Linked DNA regions of Coturnix japonica. The protein of the gene in region 3 interacts with the protein of the main gene of each other region in a pairwise test. Links are inferred from orthologs where the notes say so. Each region holds a gene or a part of one and is shown on either strand. Other genes may lie near its edges. The genes, in order: RALBP1; NFIL3; AMOTL2; BRMS1L; GCC1; keratin, type I cytoskeletal 20-like; ZGPAT.

Region 1 (2,864 bases), on a different chromosome or scaffold from region 3:
TGCCCATTAATCCTAAGGCTCAAGTTGTCTTACCTCCAGCTCCTCGTTCTGCCTCTGTAAATCCTCCAGGATGACCTGCAGCTCCTCCTCATCCTCGCTCTCACTTTCACTCTCTGAAGAATACTCCTCTGTTTCACTCCGGCCGTGCTGCTGGCGACTGGAAGAGAAACAACACCCTGAGATCAAAAACACTTGCTCAAGTTTACCAGGACTGGAGCACATAAAAATTGCTCACGTTCACTAAATAATCTAAAGTGGCTTTGAAAACAAAATCAGGGTTTAGTTTACTTTAATAAATCCATTATTCCCTATGGGGATGTTTTTTTTATGGAGCGAAGGTCCAGTTCCCATTAGATCACAACTTCATTGCTGTACTAACAGAGAATATCCCAAAAGTTGAAAAGATGCTAAGATTTCAATAAAAGGTACCAGCTTGCTAATGTGCCGATGTGCTCAGAGTGATCTTTTAAGTGTGGTTTAGTTCTGCTGCTTCTCCCCTGAGCACATGCCTGGCCAGGGAGCTGAGGCAAGCAGTCTCCCTTTTACCTTTGTATTTCAGCTATCTCTGCACGAAGGCGATCGATTTCTTCCTTCTCTGAGGCTATTTGTCTCCGCAGAAACTGCTCCATGGCCAGCAGTTCTTCTTGCTCCGTTAAAATCTCGTTCTCCTGCAACAAGCAATTAGTTCACTTACAGCCTTGGCTTTATGTTCTATGGGAACACGCGCTGAGGACTGCCCTAATGCTGAGCCCTGGGAAGCAGTGATGCTGTTCCCTGAGCTGTTTTCAGAAGTACTTAGTGTGCTTGCTCGGCACCAAGTCAGCAAGACTTCAGCCCAACTCTAGGTTCAAACCCAACAATGTCTGTTCTGAATCCTCAAGGTGATGCTGTAAATCTCGGGTGAAAGCTCTGGGATAACCCAGAGAAACTACGCTCAAAAACAGGCCTTTGAAGATTAATAGTGAGAGAAAAGTGCAGCGGAGGGAAGATCAAAGCTATTGAGGCAAGCCAAGGCAGGCATGAATACCAAAAGAGCTGCCTTATTTCCTTTGATCAGCAGGAAAAGAGTTAACAGTCCTAACTCTGGTCAGATGCAGAAGTGCCTTCTAAGTATGTGAACAACAAGGCCCACTTGTTGCTGCACACAACTGTGCCTGAACAGCAGCCTGTTCACCTTCAGGCACACTCCTGCAGTCCGTGTGCTTTCCCTGCCTTATTTAGTGCTCAAACAAAGCTTCGGATTTTAACAGAGAGAGTAAGGCCCATTGACGCCCCTTCTGTTTTCCATTGTATTAGAAGGAATAAATACACGCTCAGTAACTCTGACAGATGTGGAACATGAAACTACAGCATACAAACCGATATGCGCTTGCCATCTACCTGTGCAAGCAGAATATTTATAACTTCTTCATTCTCATTCATTTCTTCTTTGGAGACATCCTCCTTGGAAAGGCTGGCAATTTCTTGTGCAATCTTTGTTTCACACTCCTGCCAGAGAAAGAGTTGGGTCAGAACACACGGTGTTAAGCACAGAGTGGACAGGAGCTCTGTCAAACACTGTTTTAGTCACGCACTGTTTTACAAACAGCTGGAGGATGAAGGTGCCGCTCCTCAGCTGTTTAAGAACTGAGATGGAAAATAAAATATTGCACTAAAAAGACTTTCTCAACTCAAGAGTACTGCAACTAATACTGGAAATCTGCAAATTTAATTCTAGAAGGTAACTTAATGTTTCTCTTTAGAATCTGCATGCATGAAGGAAAGCAGAATGAAAGGCTTCGGTGGCAACCACGCTTTCTAAATCCAACTTACAACCCCCAGAGCACCAAAATTCCATACCTGTCACAATCTATGAGCATTAGAAGCCCCCAGTCCACACTTATAGAATCATCTGACACTTGTGGTGCTTTCAACTGCTGGGTTAGGCAGTTAAGGCTGAATGATGCACCCCAAGAAATGGGGACGAGCAGCAAATAACTGATAGCCATGAAACTTGGGCAAGATTTGCTGAAGTTAGGAAATGCTCCTCGGTCATTTTCATCCGTGATCTACATTTGGGCAATAAATAGTAAGCTACTCACTTGTCGCTTGGCTTCTCTTAGCTTCCTCTTAAGAGCTGTTAAAATTCTTTGCACCTCCCAGAGTCTCTCTTCTTTGGATAAATCTTTTATCCCCGCCTGCAAGTCTCGGTGTAAACAGTTCAGTAGGAACTCCTAGAAACATTACCAAGGCAATTAGTGTCCTTAGTATATCAGAGCAAAGGAAAAAATATGGCATTGGCTTCTTCATGACAAAAGGTCTGGAGTTCTGCTTTTCAAAGCACGTGGTGTCCCACAACAGGACAACTGTGGTATAATTACACTCTTAGGAACGTTTACTGCTGAATTTATCAAATCCAGGACAAAACCAAACAAAACAACTGAAGTATTCACCAACCTGTCGCCTGATTTCTTCTTTGATGCTTTCCTGTGTCTCTGGAAGTGCTGGCATAGTCGCCATATTTGACCAACGAAGAGGTTTTGTTACCTGTTTCAGGGTCACATTCCCAAAGAACTCTTGAACGTGTGTAAAAAGTACATACAGGACACGGTTGCTGATCTGAAAGAAAGGGCATGGGAGTAGTTCAGATGATTTCTTCACATAATCTGCACCTGTGAAGCACAGTATCTTTCTCCAGAAGTGCAACGACCTTCCATCACTCACAAATACATTGAATGGTTTGGGTTGGAACGGATCTTTAAGATCATGTTGTTACAACCCCCTGCTATGGGCAGGGACACCTCCCTCTAAACCAGGTGGCTCAAGGCCACATCCAGCCTGGCCTTCAATGCTTCCAAGGAGGGGCATCCACAACCTCATGGGAC
Region 2 (4,468 bases), on a different chromosome or scaffold from region 3:
CTCAAAAAATAGAAAAAGCTCTTGTAACAGCTTCTCTATAGGACCGGTTTGTGTGTTATCTGTAAGCAGATTCAGCCTCAAAATATGAAATTCAAGTCTATATTCAAATAAGGAGAAAACAACAGGATTTCTAAGGAGGGTTATCATAATTCACTTCAGATCTACCTCTCAATACAAAAGGTTTTTAAGAACACTGCTTCCATCACATTTTGAACCAAGCCCAAGTATGTCCTTGGTTATGCAATCCTATTTTTGACAGTCATGCTTGTTATTGGTATTAGACAGTTACACACCCTAATTTAAAAATATCTTTTTTTTTTTCCACCATGTGCTGTAAAATACTGTAACAGAAATCATCTGACATTTTGTCTTAGAACAATCTGTAGCAATTGGCCATCTATTTGCATATTTTTTCTATTACATGTCCTAAGCACATTTGTATCTCATAACTGGCTGTAATGATCATGGCAAGGTCACCTACAAGAGTCAATTAAGCTGATGAGTCAGATACATTGCTTAACAGTGTGTAATAAGACACAAACAGAGAATTTTATTGTTCACGTTATTGCATCATAGTGATGTTATAACAGGAAGATTGCTGTCTGGAAAAAAACCTATTGCATAAACATAGTTTGCATAACCATCTGCTAAAATAAGTCAATTTAAAATGAGCTAAAGGTTTATTTTCTGATTTTCATTTCATGATAAAGGATTGAAAATAACCAGCATGGCACTGGTATTTTTTGAGGATTGTGCACTACTTGCATTGCAACAGACAATGTCTGTACATCCAACAAACTTCAGCCCAAGCATAAACAACACTGTTCCTCCTTAGGAGAGGATTAGATGTGGAGAGGTCAAGTAAGTTCATATTGCTCATGGGAAGATTCTAAGGTTTTTGACACCTTCCAGACATATTCTTTTTATGAAAAAAAAAAAAAAAGAAAAAAAGAAAAAAGAAAAAAAAGAAAAAAAAGAAAAACACCAGCAGAAACATGAAGCTCTGAAGTCAAATCCTCAAACTGGATAAATAAATAAGAGTCCCCTACAGAATGAGTAGAATAGAAAGTAGAAAAGTGGATAGTATAAAATAGAAAGTAAATTAAAAAAGGTACATCACTGTAAAGAGGGTTAGCACTTCAACAGTCACATAAAAATGCCAATAATGTGAGAGTGTTTAAAGTAGTATCTGTTAGTGCCAGTGATATTGAGGATCTTTCTATTCAGTAATCCTCAGGCTTGTTCGCTAAAACTGGGTCTGTAGGTCACAACCTGAATCCTTATTCATTCACATTTCTTATCAAAATCAACATTTTGATCGGACAAGGACTGTAAAAGTAACACACACAGCACTATTTTAAACTGCCCCCTGGATTGAATTAATTACCAGGGGCAGAGATGACTCAAAGTAGGTTACGTACACAGCAGTGAGCACAATGCAGCCAAGAACAACCATTCAACTTACAAGAACAAGGAAAAATCAGGCTGCTTGCTGCTCTTAACAGAACCCAAAGGGTTTGCCATCACAGCTGAACCTGACCCCCACAACCAAGCAGCAAAAAAGTCTGCACATTATTGTTACTATTGCATTTTTGAACACTTTTGAATACTTCAAAGTTGCTACCTACAGCAATTCCCATGAACACATGGCAAGCGTTCCCGGTGCTAACATTACCTTTAGAGGTTCTGACCACAAAGAATGATTCTGGCTCTCCCTGGCTGGAGGATCGTTATGGGCAAACAAAAACTGCCGAACGCTCAAGGCAGCGCTCGGAGTGTTGCTCCCAGGAAGCTCGAAGCACGGCCTGACCCCAGAGCAGGGCTGTGCCACCGAGTACATAAGTGACTTGGCAAAACAGCACCATTGGGCAATAGCCATTTTTGACTCGCTCGTTACGTAAGGAGAACGCCGAAAACACGGGGATGGCGGTGGGGCTGCGTCTCGCCCGCAGCCACTATGCGCTTGCTGAGCACGGGCCCTTTGTCTGCAGCTGCGACCTGGACACGTCCAGCCCCGGCGGTTGTGGGGCCACGCTGCGAGACGCGGCGGCCACAAAGGCGGCCTGGTCCGGCTCGCTCCCTCCGCGCGGCCCCACGACGCCACCCCCCTTTCCCCCCCCCTCCCTTTAGCCTGCTTCGGCCCAGAACAAAGGGCTGCGAAGCAGGGGGAAGCGGCAGCGCCGCCAGCCCTCACCCTCGCGGCCGTGGGCTGCCAGCCCTCCGCCAGGCCCCGGCCAACGGCCTCGCGGGTACGAGCCGCGGCGACGGCTCGGGGAGCGGGACCGGGGCGGCGGCGCCCCCGGCGGCAGCGCTGCCCTTGTCGGCCGAGTCTGTCATACTGACCTACTTGTGCACCGTGGGGCGGGGCGGGGCCGGGCCGTGCTGCGCCGCCGGGCGTGGGGCGCCGTCCCGCTGCCGCTCGGCGCGGTGACAGCTTCGCACAGCGGCACGGCACCACGCACGGAGACGGGCCCATCTTCGAGGAACGGTGGCCGAGAGCCGGGTCGGCGCCCGGCCGAGCGCCTCCACCACCAACCGCCTGAGCCGAGCCGCTCCGCGGGCTCGAGGCTCGCAGCCGGGACACCGAAGTGTAACGAGGTCCGCTGCCACACTGCGGAGCCTAAAACGTAACGGGGCGGACCCTGCGACGAGCACGGCGCGGTAGCCCCTGTCTCTCCGTAACGAGGCGGATCCCCCCGCCGATCCCGGCCCGCAGCCAGCGGCCCCGCGTTACATAATGCCACACTTCCAGGAACTACGATGCGGTCCGTCCCGGGAACGCTGCCACAGCGCTGACAGCGCTGAGCCGCCCGCAGCTCCGTACCGCGCCCGCACCCCGCCCAGCGCCCAGCGCCCGCTCCGTGCACAGCAGGGCCGGCCCCGCGCTACGGGCGGCACAACGGCGGACCCCGGGGCGCAACGCAACGCGGCGCTCCGTCGGCGCGTTATGTAACGGCGGTGGCGGGATGGCGCCGCCAGTCGCACCGCAACGCAGCGCCTCGCCCCGCGCACCGCAACGCGCCTTCCTACCTGGAGTGCTCGGCGGGGCCACAACCATCCACGAGGTGAAGCGAGGCGAGAGCGCTGCGCTGTGCCGTGCCGTGCCGTGCCCCGTGCCGTGCCGTGCCGTGCCCCGGGCGGCGTCGCCCCGCTTGTCCGTACGCGAGGCGAGCGAGAGCGTGCGGCGGCTGCGGCGGCGCGGAGGGATGTGTGTTAGTAGGTCAGAGCTGCGCGGCGCGGGGCGCTCAGCCCGCATGCCAGCCGCGCCGCACCGTGACTGGCGGCCGCCGCGCCCCAATCGGCGACTGGCGCCGCCGGGGGACGGCCAATGGGGGCGGGAGGGGGCGGGGCCAAGGGGGGGCGTGGTGCAGCGAGTGTGTGTGCTGGCGATTGCATAACGGCCGGCGGCGGTGGGGGTGGCGCGGCGGGGCCGGCGCTTACGTAACCGGGCGCGCGGCGCTGAGGGGGGCGCTCGACCCGCGGCCCCGCCCCTGATCTTTTCTCATCCTCACCCCATGTTCTGCTGTGCAGTAAATCCAAGCGCCTCAGGTTCGTCTGTATCTATCGGTATTCATCTCCCCATTATTGCGAGTCTAATAACCTCTGCTCATACTGATTCTCGCCTTCCCTCATTGTCTGCTGGTAGCTGGAGCATAGAGCCCTGGCTGTGGTAGCCCTGCAGAGCACGCTGCTGCAGAAAAGGCTGGAGGACCAGCAATCACATCCACCTGCACTTCATTTCTTTGCCTTATGTCCCCTCATAGGTAGACACACGTCCATACAAAGGCAGTCGGTGTGCTATTGAAAAGCTCAGAAATGTGCTTTAGCCGTGAACTTTGTTCTTATAGACGTCGGTGGACTCTTAACAGTCTTAAGGACACCAGACCATCTGTATGAAGAAATCTGAGCAGCATGTGCATGGGGATAGAACTGGATGCTCTTTAAGGTCTTCCCAGCCCAAGCCATTTCATGATTCTATGATTCTACGTTATTTCTCATCCTATATCTTTTGTATTATTATGAGGTTGTCCTGAAAGTAATACCTCATTTATTTCCAAGGAAACAGCAATAGATAAAAAGAGAACAAGAACATTGTTTGATAGAGCAAATTCTCAGCTACCGGACACTATTTTTCAACACAGTCACCACCATTTGCTGTACATTGTTACCAGTAGCAAACAGGAGATGCATGCCATGCTTGTTAAAGTCTGCACCAGTGAGTGGACATGACCCACTGTCACTGCCACTACTGCTGGAGCACCATCCACCGCCTCAGTGTGCTCATGTCCACTGTTTGGTTTCTATAAATGCACAGAAAACATCAGTGAATGTCAGTGGGTGCCATTTCTTTTCTGCACAGATGAATTCAGTGACATACCTTTACTTCATCTGCACTTCTATGTTAATTGCTGTTTTGTCAGACTGACCCTCTGCTGCCACCTGTCACACGGCAACAACATGTAATGGA
Region 3 (4,404 bases):
GGCTATTGGCAGTCACAAGCATTCCGAGCATCTCGCCTTTGACACAGCACCGCACATCTCCATCTCCATCTCCAGCCCCTGCATCCCTTCCCTGCACAACAGCCAAGTCTGGGCTTTGTGGGCTGCTTTCACCTTTCCACGTGCTTCATCTTCTGATGGGAAGCAGTGGGTCTGTGTGGGTCTGTGGATGGGGAAGGGCTGTGTGAAGAAGCCAGCAGCTGGTCAGGCTCGTCCAGGGGGAGCATGGAAAGGTGGAAGCTTCCCATATCTGCCGTGTTAGAAAGAAAAAGAGGAGCAGAGGGCTTTTCCTCTTCAGATCACTTTCCAAAGTGCTGTTATCAGCCCAGGAGGGGTTTCCTGCTGCCAAAAATAGAGCGGTGTGGAGATAGGAAGGGAAGCGGGATGACGCAGGCATAGATAAGGCTGCTGGATGAGCCGGGGGGGCAGCTGGGACCTCCGGCATGCTGGGTGCCCCCATCCCACTAAGAGACCCCCGGTAGGGTTTGGGATCTCGCCCACACCTGCTCTGTGTCCAGGGCTCGTTTCTCAGCCCCGTTATCAGTCAGTGAGCGGCTGGGTGCTGAACGTCAGCCCGATACCTCCATGGTTGGGGGCCGGCAGGGGAGGCTGGCCGAATTTCAGGTTGTGCAGCGTGCATCTGTGCCTCTGAAGGATGCAGCGGTGTCTGGCCGAGCAGAGAGCGTTACCCACAGCCAGTCCCTTTCCTCCCCCCAGACAAAGCCCCCCAAAGGATGGCAAAAGGAAGAGCCCGTCGGCGCGCTCCGGGCTTTGTTCGGCCTTTGGAAGGTGCCAAATTCCCTCTCTCAAGAATGAGAGCTTAATGTCCCGTATCTAATTAGCAATTTTCCCTGCACCTGCTCCTCGGCCGCCCCTCGGACCATCTGCCGTCTCGGGGCCCCGCGGGCGGACGTGCCCGGCGCTGGGGGTCCCGCGGCTCCTCCGCTGCGGCCGCACGACGGGGAAGCGGCTCCGCAAAGCCGGGCAGCCCCGGGCTCCGTGCCGCGGGTCCCGACCTGCTGCACCCCACAAAGGGAAGGAGCAAAGCACGCGTGTATCCCGCACGAGAGGCGGGGGTCGGGGGGCTGCGCTGGGGAAGGGGAGCGGCGCTGGCAGAGGGCAGAGCAGATGGGGCCGCGGTTTTTTTTTGTAGGGCCGGGAGACAATGGCGCGTCTCTCGGGGCCGGGATCAGGCACGAAGATTTATGCAGGCGGGCAGCTGGCGGGCACAGCCTCGGAGCCCCCCCGGGCGGCAGCTGCTGCCCCAACCCCTCGGCAGCCCCCGGCCCAGCGCCGACACCGACCGGCCCAGCCCCGAATGGCGGTGGGGCGGGCGCTGCTCCCCCTGGCGGCGGAGCGAGGACGGGGAGGAGGAGGAGGTGGCGGCGGGGCGGGGCGGGCCCGGCCCCGCATTCCGGGCATAGCAGCGCCCGAGCCCGGCCCCCGCTACCGGCGGGGCCCGCAGTCGGCAGTGGCCTCGTTCCCCGAGCGGCAGCACGGCCTCGCCGCTCCGCCATGCCCCGGTAAGTACCGCCGCCCTCCCCCCAATCCCCCGTCCCCGAGGAGCCGCACAGCCGTGGGGAGAGCCGCGTTCCTCCGGCCCCAATCCCGCTGACGTCCCCGTGTCCCCCCGCAGGTGCCCGCGTCGCTCGTAGAGCCCCCGGACGGACGGACGGAACGCGGCGGAGATGAGGACGGCGGAGGACTCGAGCGGGACGGTGCTGCAGCGCCTGATCCAGGAGCAGCTGCGCTACGGGAACCTGACGGAGAACCGCACGCTGCTGGCCATCCAGCAACAGGCGCTGCGCGGCGGCACGGCCGGCAGCCCCCGCTCGTCGCTGGAGAGTCTGACCCAGGAGGAGAGCCAGATGGTGCCGCAGTCCGCCCGGCAGGAGCCGCAGGGCCAGGAGCACCACGCCGACCACCTGTACAACGAGCACGGCGGATACCGCCCGGCACAGCCCCAGCACAAGGGCGAGGAGCTCCCCAGCTACGAGGAGGCCAAGGCGCACTCGCAATACTACGCGGGGCAGCGGGCAGGGCAGCAGCACGGCGGCACCCGACGCCCCGACGACGCCCTGAAGGAGCTGAAGCACGGCCACGTGCGGTCGCTGAGCGAACGGCTGATGCAGATGTCGCTGGAAAGGAACGGGGCCAAAGCGCACGGCCCCATCAGCTCGTCCCACAGCTTCCCGCAGCTCTCCCGGCAATACACCCTGCGAGGGCAGCGCCCCGAGGGAACGGAGCCTCGCGGGCCTCCACCGGAGTATCCCTACATCCTCCCCAGCCAGGAGGCGGCCGTCGCTTACCTGTCCCGGCCCTGCTCCCGGGACGGGGCCGGCTTCCAGCACCCCGAAGTCAGGTAACCCACAGCCCTCGCCGCTTCTTGGGTGCTGGTTGGCCCCGGTTTGCCTCGGTTGGTTCAGGATTTCCATCCGGCAGTGAAAACTCCGCTGCTCCGGGAGGGATTCGGGGTTAATGCAGGAGTTGGAGGCAGGTCAGGAAATGGCTAAATTCGGAACAGGCGTGAGCCAGCGTGGAAGGAAAATGTGCTGCTCGGAGTGGAAAAAGCTGCCTGGCCTCCCCGGCTGAGGGTGCCCCCGGCCCCGTGCCTTCCAGCAGAGTGTATGGGAGCGCTGAGCACTGCTCCTTCCTTCCAGCCCATTGACACCTCCAGCAAAACCTGCCTCTGCTTGGAGGTCTGTGGGTGTGGAGATTTGGGCATCTCCTGGTGCTCAGGGAAGGCTGGGAAGTGTGGTGTTCTGGCATGGAATTGCTATAGGCAGGAGCTCCAAGCTGACTTACCAGGGCAGGGAGTGATAGCATTTCTGGCAGGAAACAGCTCTCCTTCCAGGGAACAAAGAGGGGAAGCAGAACTGTGAGGAAGATGCATTTGTTCTTCCTCGCTCCTGGATCACCCCATAGGAATGCAGGCTCCAGCACGGCGGCCACATGGCTCAGGATGGCTGAGGCAGCCATGGGATGTCGAGGAACTCTGGGTGATAGAATGGGGTTGTATTAACAGTGTGGTGGCAAGGCTTGGAGCCAGGAGCCCTCTCCTTGCCCAGGAAACCATGAGGAGAAGTGGTAGTGCTGCAGGTTTCCAACATACATCTTTGCTGAGGGTTTTTCTTGACTGCATCACCCAGCAGCAGGGTGGTACTGAGCCCCCCTGACCCCCCCCCCCCGGCCTAGCAGTCAAGTCCTGATGTTCTCAGGTGCTTAAATCCTGGGTGTGGAGGTGCTCAAGCTGCAGGCAGTGCTGTCAGATGGGGTTTCCTTCGTATTTTGTGTGCCCAAAGCCAACCCTTCCCAGCTGTGCAGGGCAGGTTGAGCACTCATCCTCCTGAGCATGACCCATGGGCACCCAGCACCTCTTTTGTCCAAAGGTGCTTCAGGAGCTCTGCGTATCCACACGGGTTGGTTGACAGAGGAGAACATGTGGGCAGGGTGCTTGTGGTGGCCAGTGTGTCCATCCCCATGAAGTGGCTGAGCACCCCTCTCTTTCCCCCCAGCAGGCTGATGCCAGCACCCGTCCCCGCAGCGTTCCTGCCCTCACCGAGCACGCTGGGCTCTCTCAGCCCTGCTGGTGTGGAGGCCCTGGTGAGTGCACAGGCGGCCTCAGCTGGCAGCCGGCTGGCCCAGGTGGATGCTGTGATGCGGGAGAATGAGAGGCTGCTGCTGGACAATGAGAGGCTGCGACGGGAGCTGGAGAGCTGCACGGAGAAAGCCAGCAGGATCCAGAAGGTGAGCTGGCCTTTGCTTCCTGTCAGCACGCTGAGGATGCAGGACCCCAGCCCTGCTGGTTATTTGGGATGTGGGCAATGGGTGCAGATGCTCAGCCCACCTCTGCTCCCACCCAGCACCTCACCCACCAGCATCCATCCCTTGGGGGGAAGGGAAGGGCTCATTGACCTCCTGCCGTGTCACGGGCAGCAGGTTTAGGCTGAGAGCAGGTACACCTGGAAATGGCCTCATCTGCACAGTGCGGCTTTGTCCCTTGTTTTTGAGCGAGCTCGTGCATTTGCTTCCTTGCCGCCTGGGGCAGGATCAAGCAGCTGCTGTGAAAATTCACCCCCTTTTGTGTTTTAATCTCTGCCCCCTCCCTCCGGTGGCTGCCCCCCACAGCAAGCAGCTGCGCTTTGGTGGCAGCACGGCTCCTTGGCCAAGTGTGGAAGAGAGGGGAAAAAGAGCCCATTCTGAGGCTCCAGTAGCACTCAGGCTGTCTCCACCCGCCCCAGGAGCGTGCCCGGCCACCACAGAAAGCCCTTTGTACAGCTTTGCACAAGGACAGGGCTGTTCCCTGCTGGACAGACGGACACTGGGAGGCACCGGGAGAAGCTGGGCCAGCCCCGGGGGGCCATAGTCAGCCAAATCCATGCTAAG
Region 4 (4,351 bases), on a different chromosome or scaffold from region 3:
TGTCTCACAAGCCAGATAGAATCTTCTTTCCCTTTCCACCTAGCACACATCTGGGCTCTAGACAGATGACTGAGTTTGGTGTTGCCACTTCTCATGCTGAAGGTGTATGGGTGATCAGGTTGATCAATTTTATAATCCTGGAAACAAATTATCTGTGCACTGTGCCAAAATGTAGCTCCTGGAATTAGCCTGACCTCTTCTCTTGTCCAGCATTCCACCTGGACACAGAGACTGAATTCAGTTGGCACATTTTTCCCCCCCCCTTAGGACAGTAAACGTTTGTATTGCTTTAGCAGGGTAACTCCCTCTTGGCTTCAAAGTATAAAGAACACAATAGAAGAAACACGCAAAAATCACGTAACTAAAAATTTAACATTAAAAAAAAAATAATCTGTCTCAATTTTGTATTTCAGTTGTTCATTTCCACTGTGGCAAGGGAACCTTGTTTTGCTCCTGGAATGTACTTTTAGCCCCTTAGTTCCAACTGCTTGCATAGGAAGTTGCCATCACGAGGCCAAAAGTTTCCTGATTTCCTGCCATTCCATTCCCTGCTACTGTTGGCTTTTCTAGGCCATAGCACTTGATTTCCTGTTTTATCTTGCTAGACTGAGATGTAAACCTTAAGACTTTTATTATTATTACTTCTGGATTCTTTTTACTAAATCCATATGGATTCACTATAAAGCATTTCAGACCCAGTTGGCAAAATTCACCCCTTTTTCCACGGGGACACGTCCAACTCTTAGCAGACTTCCTTACTTCCTTTCAGCCACCCAAATCCCTGACATCCCTACATTGCACGCTGGGCAAAGGAACAGCACCTTCCAGCACTCTGGGAACTGCTTCTACGTTTTTATATTGCATTAATCCGCTCGTGGTCAGCTTCTGGGATACCGAAAGCTGTTAATAAACAAGAAAAACCCCATACACCGACGAACGGTAGCCATCAAGGAGGCAAGTTCTATATTCACACCCGGGCTCAGCTCGTGTTACACACGGTTCCCCTTTAGGCCCAGTCCCCGCTGGCCGGGCCCACCTGCAGCAGCCGCAGGGCGCTGCCCGCCATCACGGCGCCCTTCAGAGCAGCACGGAGCGGCGCCGCCATGACACCCCTCACAGCACCTACTGTACTCACAGCTCACAACTCCCAGCGTGCGCCGCGCTTCGGCTCGCCGGGCCAATGGGGAGGCTCAGTCAATGACGGGGCTCAGCCAGTGAGACGGCTCGGCCGATGACAGAGCTCGGCCAATGGGAGGGCGCGGCGGGCGCGGCGGGCGCCGGGCGGGGTTGGTGGCACCGCGGGGGCTGGTAGTGGCGGCGGCGGGAACGGCCGTTCTGGGGCCGGCCCGGTGTCGGCGTTGGGCAGCATGCCGGTCCACTCCCGGGAGAAGAAGGAGAACAACCACGATGAGATGGAGGTGGACTACGGGGAGAACGAGGGGAGCACCTCGGAGGAGGAGGAGACCGAGAGCTCGTCCGTGTCCGAGGAGGGGGACAGCTCAGGTACCGGGGTCACCGTCTGTGCCGTTCTCTCTGTTCCTCCCGGGGGGAACCGGCCCCAGCTCCGCCGGTACCGCCGGTACCGCCCCCGCCGCGACCCCGCCCCGCCGCTCTCCTGCTGCTCTCCCGCTGCTGCGGCCCAGCCGGGGGCGGGGACGTGGCGGGGGCACGGTGGCACCAACTCGGCCCCAACGCAGGTCCTGGTGCCGAGCGGGCCGGGCCGCGTGGTGCCGCCGTGTCTGTGCGGGGCCTCGCTTGGGCTTCAGTCTGCGACCGGAGCCAATGTCCGCCTGGTTCTTCGCAGGCGAAACTGAACGTTTCTGTTGGGTGTTTTGGGGCCTGTCTGGGTGGGAGGGGACCTGTCAGTGCCATTGGCCTCTTCTGCGCAGCATTAAACCCTGCTCTGCTAAAGGCTTCTTTCCGTGCCTTACTTGCTCAGGACTGTGGTCTGAGGGTGATTTAACGTGTGAAAGGTGGCTCTAACAGCTGTTCACCTGTTAAAAGGAAGTTTTCTGTTGGAGGTTACCTTATAATTCCAAGGGCTAAATTAGAAACTTGTCATTTAATGGCAACCACGGAAATGCTTTGGAGAGTGTGCTGCAATCTGGGATCGCTGGGGCTCCATATGTCCTGGCCCACACAGGACCTTTGCCACTGGATCCACTGGGGAGCTATAGGAGAAAAGGCATTATACTCTTTAATCAGGTTTTGTTCTAATAGGACAAGGGGAAATATTTTCAAACTATGAGAGAGGATTTGGTTTGAATAGGAGGGGGGAAAAATTACAGTAAGGCTAGTGAGGTACTGGAACGGGTTGCCCAGGGATGTGGTAGATGTCCCTGGAGACAGTCAGAGTCAGACTGGACCAGGCTCTGAGCACCCTGATCTTGCTGTAGGTGTCCCTGTTCATTGCAGGGAAGTTGGACCAAACGGACCATTAAAGGTCCCTTCCAACTCAAACAGTTCTGTGATTCTTTGAAAAGCTGGAGTGGTGCTCAGTGCTGGCTGTAGTCCTGAGGCAAGCTCCTGGTAGCTGGAATTTGCAAGTATTGATGATTGAACCCTACTTTGCAACTCTAGGCAGCTGGTCAATGATTGTCTGCTTGGATTAAACTGTCACCATCCTTCCCCTCATTCTTACCCACCCTTCTTGGTGCATTGTACTTTCTTGTCCTTGTTTATTGCTCTGTCTTCAGTGACACTGGGCCTTTGTATGCTAAGCTGTCAGAAAAATAGCCCTTTAAAAAGTGAAATAGCAAAAATGTCTCAGTGAAGAATTTGATTTGTGAATGAGAGGTACTGGGGGCTTAATGTATACTAATGCTTGGGTAGACTGCAGCTCCTTAGCAACAGAAGTCATGAATAGCAATTTTGTTAGAATATGTAAAGATCTCCAATTTACATCAGTTAACTTTGCACGTATTCTTGTGAGTTTAAGATTAATGACTTGCACAGGTTTAGACAGGAGGCTTCCTGAAGCAGAGATTCTGAAGTTCTTGGCTGTTTCCTCATCTGAGGGAACATCATGCTTCTCTCATCTAATGCAGTATTACTCAGGAGATATTTTCAGTCCATAAACTGTGGAGCACATCCAGGTATGGGCTTGCAAGAACTAGCAAAATTATTACAAACATTGTTTCTATTTGTGTCTCTAATAACAACTGATTTGGTGAAGAGATTCCTAGTTTGGAATAGATAGTGCTGAGGCCCCTATATCTCTAAAGCAATTGTAGTTTTGTTTCAGATAATATAGCCTGAACTGTATGTGTATGGTTGAGAGCTGCCTGAAGATCAAGTCATTGTTTCAAACTCTTATGCTCTCTGTTGATATTTGAATACATTTGGTAAGTGCTTGGAATGAAGCTTTGAATTTAACTTAATAGTTAAATTTGGTTTCTGTTCACTGAAACTGCTGCAAACTGAACCAGTGTGCTCAAAGCTGTTCTGTGGTGAAACATGTATGTGCACACAACTTTATAAATAGTTGGGCTGTTACAGATGAAGAGTTCATTGATCCAGGTACAGATCTGCTGCTGAGAAAGACCGATGAATCTTTCCTTACCCCCATTCTCTTGAAGCTGTTCAGCTGAAAAAAAAAAAAAAAAAAAAAAAAAAGGACCAGAAAGATGTGCTTAACATGACTTGGATAGGTTTGATGAAACAGGCTGGGCAGCATCAGTGTGCACTGGTGGTTATGTTGGAAGAAAGGTACATTTGAGTGAGGATATCCAGACAAGGAGCTGCAGATATCATATTTTAAGTTGAAAAAACATGTCTAATTATGTCCCTGATTGCACAGCAACCTGTTCTGTTCCTTTTTGATGTGATTTAGGAAGGCATGTTTCAATTCTTTTATTATCAGAATTGAATGTGACCTTGAAATGTGAATATTCTGTTTAGGAAAGTAAGTTAATGGAGATGGCTCTTCCCTACTGAACGTGGCTGTTTTTTCAAAATAAGGGAACAGACACAGTTTGTTAAATCTTTCAGAGAGTAAACGAAGTAGAGGAGGAATGGACGAGCTCATTGAGCAATATGGAGGTGAGACGCAGGGTTGCAAAGGGCTCCATGATGAGGTCCAGGAGCAGAACTGCAACAATAACCCTTATGTAGCCAAGCGGGTCTTCCCGCTTGTCTTGAAATAGATTATGCAGTTTATGTAGGTTACTGTTACATAGACTGCCTTTCCTTTGCCATTTTCTAGCCAAATGGTATGTCTTTTAAAAATAAATAAATAAATCATTTTTTCTCTGTAAGAAATGGAACTTGATATGACAGATATTAATGTAACTTTCTCTCTTCCAACTCACTGGCTCTGGTTAAGGGAAGACTGTTAGTATCAGCCACAGGT
Region 5 (4,529 bases), on a different chromosome or scaffold from region 3:
CTTCATCTACATCCCATCCTCATCCCCACCCCCATCCCAACCCCATTTCCATTGCACACTCATCCTCACGCTGATCTCCATCCCATCCTCATCCCCATCCTATATTCATTCACACCCCCATCCCACCTACATCTCCATCCCCATCCCCATCTCCACCTCATCCTCATCTTCATCCCATTCCCATCCCATCTTCATCTTCATTCTTATTATCATCCCACCTTCATTCTCATTCCCATCTCATCTTCATCCCCATCCCATCTTCATCCTCACCCACATCCTCATCCCATCCTCCCCATCATCCTTATCTTCATTCCCATCCCCATCCTCATCCCATCTTCCTCTTCATCTTCATTCTTATTCCATTCCATCTCATTCCTCATCCCCATTCCCATCTCATCTCATTCTTATTATCATCCCATCCTCATCCCCATCCCATCTTCATCTTCATCCTCACCCACATCCTCATCCCATCCTCCCCTTAATCCTTATCTTCATCCCCATCCCATCCCATCCTCATCCTCATCCCTATCCCACCTTCATTCCCATCCTCATCCCATCCCTATCCCATCTTCATCATCCTCACCCATCACATCCTCATCCCATCCTCCCCTTTTCATGCCCTTCATCCTTACCTTCCTCCCATCTCCATCCTTACCCCATCTCCATCCCCATCCTCATCCCATCTTCCTCTTCATCTTTATCTCCACCCCCATCCCATCTTCATCTTCATCCTTATTATCATCCCATCCTCATCTTCATCCCCATCCCACCTTCATCTCCATCCCATCCCATCCTCATCATCATCCCTATCCCATCCTCATCCCATCTTCATCCTCATCCCATCCTCCCCTTAATCTTTATCTTCATCTCCATCCCATCCCATCTTCATTTTCATCCTCACCCATCCCATCCTCATCCCATCCTCCCCTTCATCCTCATCTTCATCCCATCCCCATCCTTACCCCATCTTCATCCCATCTTCCTCTTCCTCTTCATTCTTATCATTCCATCTTCATCCTCATCCCCATCCCATCCTCATCCTCATCCCTACCCCATTCTCATCTTCATCCCTATCCCCATCCTCATCCCATCCTCATCCCATCTTCATCCTCACCCCCATCCTCATCCCATCCTCCCCTCCATCCCATCCCCATCCCATCCCCCCCCTCACCCCATCCTCATCCTCATTCATACAACGATGCCCCGCCCCCTCATTAAGCCCCGCCCCCAGACTACAAGGCCACGCCCCCAATCCTATTAGCCCCGCCCCCTCTGCTCCGTTCTGACACCTGATTGGTGGCCGCTCCTCGCCCCAAACCCTTCACTTTGCGCATGCGCAGCGTGGGGTGCGTCACCTCCAGTGGGCGGGGCTTAACGTGCAGGGCGGAAGTGGGTGGGAGGGCGGAAGTTAAACAAGGCGGAAGTAGGTGGGAGGGCGGAAGTAGTAGGGGCGGAAGTTAAACGAGGCGGAAGTAGGTGGGAGGGCGGAAGTTAAGCAGGCCGGAAGTAGGTGTGCGGCGGCGCTCTGGCTGCCGGTACCGACTCGTTGGTTGGGCCTGGAGGCCGCGGCCTGCTGTGGCCCGGCCCGGTCCGGAGGTAAGGCCTGAGCCCTGCGACCTACCCGCCCCCAGGCCCACCCCCATCCCGGAACCATGGAGAAATTCGGTATGAACTTCGGAGGAGGCCCGAGTAAAAAAGAACTGCTGGAAACCATCGAGTCGCAGAAGAAGCAGCTCCTGAATTACCAGGCCAGGCTGAAGGACGTGGTCATCGCCTACAAGAGCCTCATCAACGAGAAGGAGGCCTTGGAGGCCAGCCTGAAGGTGTTATCGGCGTCCCACGAGGCCGACATTGGGTTAAATGGGGCTCAGGCTCCATTTGTGGCCCCCTCCAGCTCTTCCTTTGCCTCCAGCTCTTCCCTTCCCTCCAACTCTTCTTTCCCCTCCAGCTCTTCCCTCCCCTCCGGCTCTTCCCCTCCTTCCAGCTCTCCCCATGTTGATCCCATGGATGATAAGAGCTCAGTTCACAGCGAGGACAGCATGGGAACGGCCGCCAGCGTGGACACAACAACCAGTTTGGGCAGCACGAAGGGCGAGCAGGGACCTGAGGATGAGAAACACGCAGCAGCTGTTAAATCAGATGAGGGGAATGGTTCCGAGGTCGGTACTGGTACCAGTAACAGCAATGGGGACGTGCCCTGTGCTGCCATTGAGGCCGATAAGCGGGTGCTGCAGCTGAAGAGCCAATTGGCCACATTGACCAGCGCCCTGTCCACGGTGACGCAGGAGAAGTCCCGCATGGAAGCGTCATATCAAGCCGACAAGAAGAAGATGAAGCAGGACCTGGATGACGCCATTAAAAAGGCGGAGGATGAGACTGACAGGTTGGAGACGGAGCTGAGGGTTGTACAGGAGCAGCTGGCAGAGACCAAAGCTCGACTGATCACGCAGCAGCACGACCGAGCCCAGGAGCAGAGCGACCACGCTGTTATGCTGAGGGAGCTGCAGAAGCTGCTGCAGAGCGAGAGGGCGTTGAGGCAGGACGCTGAGCTGAAGCTGGAGGAGACCAGGGAGGCATTGGCCGGCCGGGTGTGCATGGCTGATCGTGCTGAGGGCTACGAGCTGCAGATCAAGCAGCTGAGCCAGGAGGTGGAGGAGCTGAAGAGAGAACTGCAGGCTGTTCAGGAGGAGAGGAAGAAGCCGGACCCCCGGGTGCAAGACCTGCAGGAGGAGATGGCCAACCTGAAGAGCCACTTCCAAGCGCAGCTGCTGCAGGAGATGAGGAAGGTAATTCCCTGCTTGAGCCCTAGAGCAGCCCAATGTAGGGGGTACCAGAGCAGCAGATGGAGGCTTGAGGAGCCCAAATTCTCCCTGTGCCACATGCCACAAAGTCCGAAAGATTTCAGATAGGAGAAAATACCATAGTTTCATCTGATGGGATCATATACCCTGAGGAAAATTAAAGCTGTTGGCAATGCAGTGTATAAATCAGTTAACCACGGGTGGTTTAGGAGCAGTCTTTGTGGGAGTTACGTGGTGAGCATCGCTTGGTTCCGAGCAGCAGCTGGATTTGGGAGGAGAGCAGTGGCAATGAGCGTGCTCTCATCATAAATGCAATGCAAGGTTCGGTTCGGACTCTCTTAAAGGGAACTGACCTCCACATCCCCCTGCATGGAACTGTAATAGGTGAGCGGTGAGGCAGGTGGGCGATAAGGGCGGCCTGCTGAGCGAGGTGCTGGGCTGTGCATCTTGCTGTGTGTCTCTGCAGGCTGTGGGGCAGAGGGATGGAGGGCTTTGCTGCTGAGTTGGCAGCTGGAAGGACACCAGCATGGGATCCTCATTTCCCCACAGTCTGGAATAAGTTTTCAGCTTTCTAATCTGAAGCCTCTAATTATCAGCTTCGGGCTGATGGGATGCGATTAACCTTGTTTTGGAAGTGATACCCAGCAGCTTCTGTACGACAGGGCTGAGGATGGGCTGATCCCAGCTGTGTTTTGGCTCACAGTGGGGACTGAGGAGTGGTGCCACCTTCCACGTGCTCTTTAGGAGGTCAGATCTCGATGGTGATAGAAGCTGTGAGCTCCAGTGTTTGCTGTAGCTACTCAGAGCCCACTGAATTACGTTAATATTGGTGTAACAAAGCTTAGCATTTAGGTACAGTTAGGTGTAGGAAAGCTTTAGGGCACACTCAGACATGAAAAAATCCCACAGTGAGGTGAGCTTTGTGCTTCATGCCCTGCACATGCCTCCAGCAATGCACATTAATGCTGCTAACAGCAGGGAACAAATACAGAAACGCACTCGGTTTGTTTCATCCTTGAGTCTCTGTTTTAAAGATGGGCGTGTGAGAGTGTGGGGTGGGGGAGGATTGTTTGGAAACTAGGGAAAGGGTGTCCCTGTGCTTGCTTGGAGTTGTTCAGAGCAGAATGAAGGCCTGTGTAATTGCAGGGTGGTCTAACACCGCTGCATTTCTTTGCTTACAGACTGCACAAGCAGAGGAGCAGCTCCGGCAGCACGCCCAGATGGAGGAGCAGCGCGTGGCCGACCTGGAGGGGCAGGTCTCTGAGGTGTCAGGGCTGCTGGGCACCTACGAGAAGGCCAAACAGAAGGACCAAATGGTCATCCAGAAACTGAAGGATCGCATCGTGCAGCTGGACCAGGAGAACAAAACCTTGGCCATCGCAGCCTCCAGCCGATCCCCTGCTGATGTGAACGTGGAAGAAGCCAATCTGGATGTGAACGTTCTCAAGGATAAGATGGAGAAGCTGAAGAAGCTGCTGCAGGTGGCAGCAAAGAAGAGTCAGCCCACGCTGGACATCGAGAAGCTGTGTGAGCTGGAGCTGCCAAAAGGTACCGAGGCCGGGGATGGTGAGAAGGCCACGGCTCTGTACTATCAGCAGGAGCTGAAGCAGCTGAAGGAAGAGTTTGAAAGGTACAAGATGAGGGCACAAGTGGTTCTCAAGAACAAGTCAGCCAAAGATGGCAACCTGGCCAAAGAACTGGAGGAAGCTCAGGAGCAACTGGCGGACC
Region 6 (4,635 bases), on a different chromosome or scaffold from region 3:
TACCTTTTTCAAGTTCATTTGTAAGTATATCCTCTTGGACAACCCTGTTCGGATTTTAAACAGAAAAATGTAAGTATATTATGCCTGACATAGTGAAGAAACAACCTGGCATGTTTTCTGCACCTTTAATATAAACAGGTATATTTCCTTTCATCAAGACTTTAGTTCAGCCCTTGTCACGTGTTTAGATGAGTTTTCAGTACTAAAGTGAATTTTGTTAAGCGTCAGCTATAGGTGAAATTCACCTGCAGGCTAATTTCTGCAGTGTTACAACTTCAGCTCAGGAGGATTTGCCCGGCCTGGTTCCTGAGCCAGAACTGACCTTTGAACCATAGGACCTTTGAGGGAAGCAGCGCTGTCTGCTTGTGCTGCTCTGCACTCTTTCACAGACCTCTGTGCACTGCAGAGCAAGGGATGCTGGACTTTCCAGACAGTAAATGTCAGCTCATTTGCACCTCCTACGTATATAAGTGGCTCAGCTACTGGTGGCAGAAGTGCAGCAGGATGGAATCCTGCACGGGCTCCCAGACTTGCCATAGACTGCAGGAGGTCAGTGTGCGCTCACTGAGTGCCTTGCTCTGATGTGGTCAGGTGCTCATGCTACCAAAAGCAGTTTAAAATGATGTGCCCTGAGTTTCTGTCATTACAGTTATGGAAAAGTTTATCTAAAACTGCATCACTTTTGTTCATGGAGTGTGGGCGGCTGTCAAGATACTCAATTCAAGAAGAGTAACAGTGTGTACCCGTGCAGAGGGTGGCATAGACTGGTCTGAACACTGCAGCAGCCTCTGAAGGAGCACAGACTTGGAGCCTACAGCTGAGAGCCGGGCAGCAGGCAGACTTTTTTCCTTCAAAAACCAGTTGCCAATAGGCAGATTTTACCACCGTTTCTGTCTGAGAATTTAGAGCTCATTTGCACTGCTGTCAGTGGTGCAAAGCTGCCGGAGCCCCTTTCCTCACCTGATGTCCTCCCCTTCCAGCAGACGTCGGTACGTGGCGATCTCCATCTCCAGGCGAGTCTTGATGTCCAGCAGGATGCTGTACTCCGTGTTCTGCCCCTCCATGTCAGCCCGCAGCTGCCTGAGCTGAGCCTCTAACCTGGCAATTGTTTCCTGGATTTGAGCCAACTGAAAACTGTAACGTGCTTCAGTTTCAGCCAGAGAATCTTCCAGAGTCTTCTTCTACAGTTGGTGAAAAAGAACAGAGATTTATTGTTCAAGAGGATACATCTTGGCCTTAAAATTACATTTTGAAATATGTCCCAGTTTTTGTTGTTATCTCTATAAACACAGCCCTTATTTCAAGAACTGTTCATCACTCACCATGTTCAGATGGGTCTGTAATTCCAGCTCCAGGCTCTGGGAGATCTGTCTCCGATCTGTGACCTCTCTCCTTTGTTCTTGCAGCTGCTCTACATTGATTGCTACTTCCTGGTTCAGTGCTTCTGTCTGAAATATGGAAATGGAAGGACTGTGAGCTGTGACCAGACATGACAGAGGCTCTCGCTGGTGTTGAAGCAATTGACCTTACTTGCTTTTCAAATCGTTCTTTGGCTTCTTGGCGGTTCTTTTCTGCCATTTCTTCATACTGCCGTCTCATGTTTTCCATAATACTTGCAAGATCAACACCTGGAGCAGCATCCACCTCTACGTTAACCGAGCCACCCACTTGTTTGCGCAGCCTTTCAACCTCCTACAACATTGAGCACTGCGTTAGCATCAGCTAAAGTGAACTTCCAGGCCCAAATATTGGGCAGAAGCTCAGAAATACAGAAACAGAGCAACTCTTAATTCTTAAATTTAAATTTAGCTCTTAATTTAACTCTTAAATTTAATTTGTAAATGCCTCTGACAAAAAAGAAATGATGACACTGTTCTGCTGCTCTCACCTCTTCATGGTTCTTCTTAAGGAAAATGATTTCTTCATTCACGCTTTCAATCTGTGCCTCCAGATCTGACTTGGTTAAGGTCAGGTCGTCAAGGACTCGCATGAGCCCATTGATGTCACTCTCAACACTTTGCCTGAGCAAGAGCTCATTTTCATACCTGTAAAACAAGGCTTCTTTCGCCACCATAGAAGTGCAGCAGTTTGACAGAAACATCAAATCAATAACTTCTACAGCCCGAGGCCTAAAGTATTTGTTTTTACTGAGCTCTGTGGTTTACTTCTCAGCTTTGATACTAATAACTAGATGTTATCCTGAATAACTGAAGCATGAAGGAGTGCAGGCAGTGCGTGGAACTTACTTCAGTCTGAAATCATCAGCAGCCAGCTTGGCGTTGTCAATCTGCAGGACAAGCCTTGCATTTTCCAACTGTGCAGCACTGATCTAAAAAGGAAAGGTTGGAAAGGGATGAAGCAGAGGTAATGCAGCTCGCAAAGGACACTGAGTGAGTCTTAAACATTAGAAAGTCTGTCACTAATTTGTGTCTGGCCAGAATGAAGCATTTCCTGTTCCCAGGTGAGACAGATCCTATTTGATCTACTTTTCCACAGTAGATTGTTACCTTCCCCAAAGCTGCAGTTTATGCTTTTATAGATGGCTGTAGGAGATCTTACCTTGTTTTGGAGTTCCTCGATTGTTTGGAAGTATGAGCTGTAGTCACTCCTTATGCCCACTGTATTCTTCTCGTGCCACTCCTTGATCTGCTTTTCAAGCAGGGAGTTTGATTTCTCCAGAGAGCGCACCCTCTCCAGATAGGCAGCCAAGCGGTCATTAAGGTTCTGCATGGTTGATTTCTCATTGCCAGCGAGCAGCAGGTCGTTATCAGAGATGTTGGAGAAGGCACCGCTGGAGCTCTGTCTGCGGACGGTGCTGCTGGAGATGCGGGTGCCGTAGCCGCCAGCCCCACCATAGACACTGGGCGCCTGGATCCGCTGCACGGCCGCGCTCCTGACGGACAGAGCGCTGCTACCAGGAGCTGTGCCCTGCAAACGGGCGGCTGTACCCAGCTGGAAGCTCTGTGTGGAGAAGGACATCGTGCCTCCTGCAAAGGTGAAGCGGCTGACTGTACGACAGCGAGTTGGAGTGAAGTGCTGTGTGCTCTGTAAACCTTATATTGTCTTTGGAAGAGGAAGCACGGTGGTTGTAAACCCCACCTCTCTTGACGCATACTGTAATTGGTGTCAGCACAAATAACATGCAGGACATTGTCCCCACACTCTGTAATGCAAAGGGTTTTTAATCTCTCCATCTGCGTTTGAAAAAAAACTGCTCAGGAAATTTAGCTTTATTCATTTTTATTTTGAATGAAAGATAAAACACAAACGAGCTGCTGAATCATTTATTGCAGCCTAGCCAGCCTATCTCTATAGAGCCATTGTCGAACAAACCCTGTGCGGGTTATGAAATTAAAATGAGTTGACCGTATGTGACAAGAGACCTTAAATATTTATATCTCAATCCAGTGTACATTGCTGTTGTGTGAGCCATCGTCTGGGCCTGAGGATGGTGTAGGAAGGTCTTGAAATGGTCAGGAAGGTGGCATTTGTATCTACCGCCTTCATTCATTCTACAGTAAGCACAGAACAGTAATCTTAGTGTTGTCAAAATGACTGGTGTAGTTTGCTTGCATTGAATGTACACTGTTCAGTGATAGAAAGCCCTTAGAAGTTGAACTGGGCTGCAGTGTGGTTGAGATAAGGCAGAAAATGTAGTAGGCAAAGCTGTAAGGATATGAGAACCACCTGGATGGCTCCCTTTATTTTACATGTGAGATGCTGGTCCATAGTGCTGAGACCAAGCTTCCAGCACAGCTCCAAGCCCTCCTGCCCTGGCAGCGTGCTCAGCACGTTGTGCCCTCTGGCTGCTCTGCCTTTGACAGGAAATCAGCTGCCTCTGATCAGCACACAAAGAAACCCAGCAGCTGTGTTTTGTAGTTCCTCCAGCTGCAATGTATGTACTGCTGAGATGTGACAGGCAGAGATACAATGGAAATCGAGTGAAAGAGCTCAGAGCTGGGGGAGTTCCTGGTGCTGCATGAAAGCAGGCAGCAGGTGTGCAGCAGGACAAAGCAGGTGGAGTTCCTTGGGGCACTGCATTTAGTGTACTTCAGTGTATTAATAATGTACGGCTATTCAGGTTGAACAATTAACATGTATTGTTTATATTAGTGGAAAAGAGCTGCTGTACATACTGGTCTTTTAACCTGGGACAAGGCAATGGGTGACGTGCTGTTCTCTGGGCACTATGCTGGATCTTGGCAGCATCCTCAGGTTTCTGAGAGCTGAGTGTGGGATTCGGTGGGACCAGTTCAGCTCAGATTGGATACAGAACTACCAATAGTTTGCTGAGTGCAGCTGTAACAAGGCAGAGTTCAGCTGCTCTGGAAATGTGCATCTTCCAAAGCAAAACGAGCAGCATTCAGAGCAGGGCTCCTTGCCATGAGGATGCAAAGTGTACATTCAGGTGTCTGAACTGTGGTTGGACCTCGAGCTTTGGGTGTGACTCAGAAGCATAAATGTGCATTTATGGCAGGTCCGGTCAAAGTCCAGCAGCCAGGTCAAATGTCCCGTTGCTATAGACACAGGGTGGGTCTGTTCTATCTGCACTCAATAGGGATCATTTCCAGCTGTAGGGCAGAGCTCACATCTTTAAAACCACGAGAAGAACGCAGCAAAAGTCCTGCTACAGTT
Region 7 (4,472 bases), on a different chromosome or scaffold from region 3:
GAATCTATCACTGTAACACAGAAAAGACAAACCGGTGACACACAGACACAAAGCTGATTTGCAAAACCTTCAAGAGCATGAAAACCCTTCTTGATGTAATACAATGTACTGCTCCCACCACAGAATTGTTCAGCAGCTCCTCCAGCCTTACTTGCTCCTGCTATGCTGTCACCTTTTACAAACACCACTTAGAGGGTTATTTGAGAGCTCTCACTTGAATTAACGCACATACCATCTCACAGTTCCAAGCAGAATCGCCTAGAAGTTTCTATGTTTCTTTTCTTTCCTTTCTTCTGGAATGGTCAGATTGACATATGACATCCCAGCAAAGTTTGGCACTGTGGCACATAATGTGCTTAATTAGTGCCTCCAGTGCATGTCAGTAGCATGAGGATTCTCTAGGCTACTATGCTAATGATGTGTTATTAGCACTCAATAATCTCCATTAGGCTGAATTTACTGAGCAATAGGACACAGCTTTGTCCCTGTGACAAAACAGGGGCACAGACAGAGTGCTATCTGTGTATGCTCAGAGAACCTGGTTCTGTTGGTGTCACCTCTTCATAGTAAAAAGCCAGGCACAGCTGTTACTCATCAAGACACTGGGAGGTTTGAATACCTGTGCCTGGGATCTCTTACTCCTGTTGTGTTATACAGCTCTGTGTAGGCTCCGGAGAGATTAGAAGTCTCCTGTTTTACTTGCTCAGCTCACACACCCACTTGAAAAACAGACTAAGAACTGGAACTCCATTATAAAACATTGCGCCCTCTACCTGCTGCTACAGAAACATTTGAGCTTCACCAGACTCATACTGGTGACAGAAGGCAGACACAGATCACAAGGCACTTCTCTCACACCCCCACCACCCTCTCACCTTTAGCATAACCAGAATCATCAACACTGTCTTCATCAGATTCAGCAGATGAGGCACCATCTTCGCTTCGTAGTGGGGGAATTATACTATCTCCTTCTACAACAGCTTCCTTTAGCAGCAGGGAATCAAACTTCACCGTGTAGTAACCACTGTCAATATCTACAGAAGGAAAAGCAAGAAACAAGAGTTCAAGTAAACTCTCAATACAAACACTGCAGAGAGCTTCCTCAAAGTTGGCTTCAGGGAATGATGCGGGAGAGGAGGAAGGCCTGAAGAACACGTGTTAAAACAGCTGAAGGCTTAAGAGATTTACTTATAAAAATAGAGGAATATGGGCTGTCAACAAATGGAACTAAAAAGAAGTTTGACTTACTCCCTCTGACCCAACAAGTGCCAAAGAAAAAAACTTCTCAGAACAGAGGGGAGCCTCTATCAACAGCTCCCAGATTACTGCAGTTCTACTCTAATATGCAATTGTATATGCATGTATATTTCCTATCCTATTCCCTTCCCAAGCCTGACACAACTCAGAACACGTTCTCAACTACCTCCAGATTTTTAGTTCAAGGCCACAGCTACATCCTCAAGTGTTTGCTATCATTAACCAAAACGGTCATACTTTGTAATTCCTTCAGCATGGGTGCTCAATCTCTACACAGCTCTGGCACAACACCCACAAACACCACTCACCAGTTATTTTGGCAGCATACCATATCCCATCACTGTGTTTGGCCAGGCAGGCTGAGCCCACCTCCAGGGTACTCAGATTGGGCTCCTGAAAAGGCTGAAGCTCCTCCACAGAGACCACCTGGCCATGTGAAAACCTGCCAGGGAAGACAGAAAAGGAGTCAGATCTACCTCACTAGAAAGGGCTTGAAATATAAACCCCTTCCTTCCTGACAGGAAACTCAAACAAATTGTCAGCAGTGATGAATCTGCATCAGAAGGTTTATCATGCATCATTTCAATTAAAGAAGTCATTCGTTTTTCACCATATTCATATAATTTATGCTGTGTAATAGAAGAAATAATCCCACTCCCAAGAATGAAGCTTTCCCTGATAGGGAGATCTCTGAAAAATCACAGATCTTTTGAGATAATGAGGACTGCACACAGACACAGAGATCTCAGCCTCCTGCTCAAAGCAAAGCCAACTTCAAAGCCTGATCAGGCTGCTTAAGGCCTCATCTGGGTTAGATTTGAAGCTCTCCAAAGATGGAGACCCCGCAGCTGGAACAAAGGTACCATCAACAGACAGCCCTGGGTGTTTTTGTTTTAACTCATAAGCCTGTGACTAAAGTAGCTATTGGAATGATCAGGTAAAATCTCTGCAACTTGCCCACAGGGATTTCCACTTCATATCTGCATTACCTGAACTGTCCAGCTCTTTGATACCACCTGTTACCATACATAATGGATTTTAATAACACTGCAAAATCCCATTGGTTACAACAGCCAGCGTGGAACACTCAGATGTTCCAGCCTTTGAATCACACGGCCTTTATCAGCAGCGAGGATACGAGCCCCCTCCCCCTCCATATTTTTCTTTACCGACAGTTCTCTTTAAATCTGCATTTGTCATCCAAGAAGAACGGGCACGGCTTCAAGGACTTGTGAGTGGGGTAGAGATACAGCACTCTGACACCTGCACTGCCATCTTCCAAGTACTCCGTCCCCACAATCATGGCATTATGATACTCCAGCGTCCCCCACGAGCTGTAATACGGCGCTTTAACCTTCATCCCACTCAATTCCTCCTCCTCCTCCTCTCTATCAGACTCTTCCTCGCTGCATTTCAATTCACTCTCCTTGCTTTCTTCGTCTCCCGTCGCAGATCTCTCGCTGTTATCAGCTGAGGGCTCACCATCAGTCCCCAGCTCAGCAATGGCTTCCTTGAAGGCAGCATATTCCTCATCCTGGGCACAGCTATCGGGATTTTCACGCTGATTTACACAGGAGGCGCTTGTATCCAACGCAGCCAACAACTTGCTCTTCTTCACAGCCACCAGGCTGGACTCGGTCAGTTCTATCAGCTGCTTTAAATCTTCTTGTAACTGAATCAGATCCGATCGCTGCGAGGGGTCCTGGCCCGCCCCCAGAGCCAGCTCAACCTGCTGCAGCTGGGCGTTGTAGGCCTGGATGGCGGCTTCCAGGCTCTCCTCATCCATTGCGAATAGAAGCCAGGCCCCGGTTTAGGCCTCAATCCGAACCTCCCCGCTCAGCTCCCGCACCCCCACAGCACGGCCGCCATTACGCCCCCCCCACTTCCGCCCTTCTGAGCAGCCACTTCCGGCTTTTCCAGCTGTCGCGCAACGCCACTTCAGCGACCAATCTCTCCGTAGTGCGCTTGCGCAGTCGGGCCCGCCCCACGCATCCGGCGCCGCTGAGCATTCTGGGAGTTGTAGTTTAAAATAACCCCACCTCCCCGCCATAGAGGCGGTGTGAGAACTACACTTCCCAGAGTGCCTCGCGAGGGACGGCGCCGGCGGCTGGTGTGGTGGGGGAGCGAGGCGGCGCTGGGTGACGGGAGGAGCTCCCGGTACCGGGTGAGGGGCTGCGGTGTGCGCTGTGCGGCCGGGCCGGGGCCTGCGGGGTACGGAGGGACTGTGGAGGGATCTGAGAGCTCAGCCGGGCTCTGAGGGGTGGGGACGGCGGGGAGGGCTGCGGGCTGTGGGGCAGGGGGGGTCTAAGGGGCGTTGTGTTGTGACCAACTGCTTGTATAGCGGGTGCTGCAGCAGCACTGCTGTTGGAGAGAGGAGGGTTTGGGATAGGTGAGGGTTCCTACACACACCGCCTGGGTACGTGGTTTGAAGTTAAAAGAGGGAAGATTTAGGTTGGATGTTAGGGGGAAGTTCTTCACTAGGAGAGTGGTCAGGCCCTGGAACAGGCCGCCCAGGGAGGTTGTGGATGCCCCGTCCTTGGAGGTGTTCAAGGCCAGGTTGGACGGGGCCATGGGCAACCTGATCTATGGGGTCTCTATGGGGTCTCTATGGGGATCTATGGGGTCTCTATGGGGATCTATGGGGTCTCTCTGGTCTCTATGGGGATCTATGGGGTCTCCTGGGCAACCTGATCTAGTAAAGGTGTATGTTTGGTGGCCCTGCCAGGCAGGGGGGTTGGAACTACATGATCCTTGAGGTCCCTTCCAACCCGGCTCATTCTGTGATCCTGTGATCTGGCTGTGAGCTCGGTTCAGCTGTTGAAGATCCCATAATACTGTCATAAACAAAGTGAGGGGGCACCAACCTGCACATTCCTGCTCAGAACACTCCTCTATATCTGCACACCACTGGCTTCTTTTCTACGAGTCTTATATGTTCTCTAAGTTACTTTCAAGCAGACTTTAGCTTGCTCTTAAGTCCAAGAGAGAACAAACTTTGAGTTGAGAAGTGAGTTCATAATGGATGCTGTGCATTGTGTGCTGAAACACAGGTTAAGCTACTTGGAAGATCATGTTTTGAACATTGGATCTTGAGCTGTTTGCACTCTTCCTTTTGTGTCTGTGATTTGTCCTAGGGTTGGCTTAAGAGTTACTGATAAACGAGTAATGTCACTTATTAATCTGATGTTGGGAGAAGTTTAGATCATGGAGTGGAA

The links.
Region 1: the proteins of AMOTL2 (region 3) and RALBP1 interact in binary tests that used the Homo sapiens proteins (3 or more experiments, as listed by UniProt). The two-hybrid records come from large-scale screens. The link is inferred for Coturnix japonica from reciprocal best matches to the Homo sapiens genes AMOTL2 and RALBP1.
Region 2: the proteins of AMOTL2 (region 3) and NFIL3 interact in binary tests that used the Homo sapiens proteins (3 or more experiments, as listed by UniProt). The two-hybrid records come from large-scale screens. The link is inferred for Coturnix japonica from reciprocal best matches to the Homo sapiens genes AMOTL2 and NFIL3.
Region 4: the proteins of AMOTL2 (region 3) and BRMS1L interact in binary tests that used the Homo sapiens proteins (3 or more experiments, as listed by UniProt). The two-hybrid records come from large-scale screens. The link is inferred for Coturnix japonica from reciprocal best matches to the Homo sapiens genes AMOTL2 and BRMS1L.
Region 5: the proteins of AMOTL2 (region 3) and GCC1 interact in a two-hybrid assay, tested with the Homo sapiens proteins (2 studies listed by BioGRID and IntAct). The two-hybrid records come from large-scale screens. The link is inferred for Coturnix japonica from reciprocal best matches to the Homo sapiens genes AMOTL2 and GCC1.
Region 6: the proteins of AMOTL2 (region 3) and keratin, type I cytoskeletal 20-like interact in binary tests that used the Homo sapiens proteins (3 or more experiments, as listed by UniProt). The two-hybrid records come from large-scale screens. The link is inferred for Coturnix japonica from reciprocal best matches to the Homo sapiens genes AMOTL2 and KRT20.
Region 7: the proteins of AMOTL2 (region 3) and ZGPAT interact in binary tests that used the Homo sapiens proteins (3 or more experiments, as listed by UniProt). The two-hybrid records come from large-scale screens. The link is inferred for Coturnix japonica from reciprocal best matches to the Homo sapiens genes AMOTL2 and ZGPAT.

What each region holds. Positions count from the first base shown.
Region 1 is NC_029517.1:88,790,448-88,793,311, forward strand, and holds part of RALBP1 (ralA-binding protein 1), read right to left. Parts: intron 2,599-2,864; coding exon 2,437-2,598; intron 2,214-2,436; coding exon 2,082-2,213; intron 1,489-2,081; coding exon 1,381-1,488; intron 669-1,380; coding exon 547-668; intron 158-546; coding exon 34-157; intron 1-33. UniProt on the Homo sapiens protein: Multifunctional protein that functions as a downstream effector of RALA and RALB. As a GTPase-activating protein/GAP can inactivate CDC42 and RAC1 by stimulating their GTPase activity.
Region 2 is NC_029547.1:39,516,574-39,521,041, forward strand, and holds the start of NFIL3 (nuclear factor interleukin-3-regulated protein), read right to left. Parts: upstream 3,143-4,468; 5' UTR 3,031-3,142; intron 2,038-3,030; exon of another isoform or gene 1,676-2,037; intron 1-1,675.
Region 3 is NC_029524.1:3,377,508-3,381,911, forward strand, and holds the start of AMOTL2 (angiomotin-like protein 2), read left to right. Parts: upstream 1-1,409; 5' UTR 1,410-1,541; intron 1,542-1,654; 5' UTR 1,655-1,706; coding exon 1,707-2,380; intron 2,381-3,533; coding exon 3,534-3,765; intron 3,766-4,404. UniProt on the Homo sapiens protein: Regulates the translocation of phosphorylated SRC to peripheral cell-matrix adhesion sites. Required for proper architecture of actin filaments.
Region 4 is NC_029520.1:32,940,825-32,945,175, forward strand, and holds the start of BRMS1L (breast cancer metastasis-suppressor 1-like protein), read left to right. Parts: upstream 1-1,259; 5' UTR 1,260-1,367; coding exon 1,368-1,503; intron 1,504-4,351. UniProt on the Homo sapiens protein: Involved in the histone deacetylase (HDAC1)-dependent transcriptional repression activity. When overexpressed in lung cancer cell line that lacks p53/TP53 expression, inhibits cell growth.
Region 5 is NC_029516.1:516,776-521,304, forward strand, and holds the start of GCC1 (GRIP and coiled-coil domain-containing protein 1), read left to right. Parts: upstream 1-1,459; 5' UTR 1,460-1,652; coding exon 1,653-2,786; intron 2,787-3,982; coding exon 3,983-4,529. UniProt on the Homo sapiens protein: Probably involved in maintaining Golgi structure.
Region 6 is NC_029542.1:4,173,639-4,178,273, forward strand, and holds the start of keratin, type I cytoskeletal 20-like, read right to left. Parts: upstream 3,039-4,635; 5' UTR 2,980-3,038; coding exon 2,560-2,979; intron 2,330-2,559; coding exon 2,247-2,329; intron 2,046-2,246; coding exon 1,889-2,045; intron 1,693-1,888; coding exon 1,531-1,692; intron 1,449-1,530; coding exon 1,323-1,448; intron 1,182-1,322; coding exon 961-1,181; intron 45-960; coding exon 4-44; intron 1-3. UniProt on the Homo sapiens protein: Plays a significant role in maintaining keratin filament organization in intestinal epithelia. When phosphorylated, plays a role in the secretion of mucin in the small intestine.
Region 7 is NC_029535.1:9,383,888-9,388,359, reverse strand, and holds the start of ZGPAT (zinc finger CCCH-type with G patch domain-containing protein), read right to left. Parts: upstream 3,139-4,472; 5' UTR 3,044-3,138; coding exon 2,427-3,043; intron 1,700-2,426; coding exon 1,566-1,699; intron 1,035-1,565; coding exon 876-1,034; intron 11-875; coding exon 1-10. UniProt on the Homo sapiens protein: Transcription repressor that specifically binds the 5'-GGAG[GA]A[GA]A-3' consensus sequence. Represses transcription by recruiting the chromatin multiprotein complex NuRD to target promoters.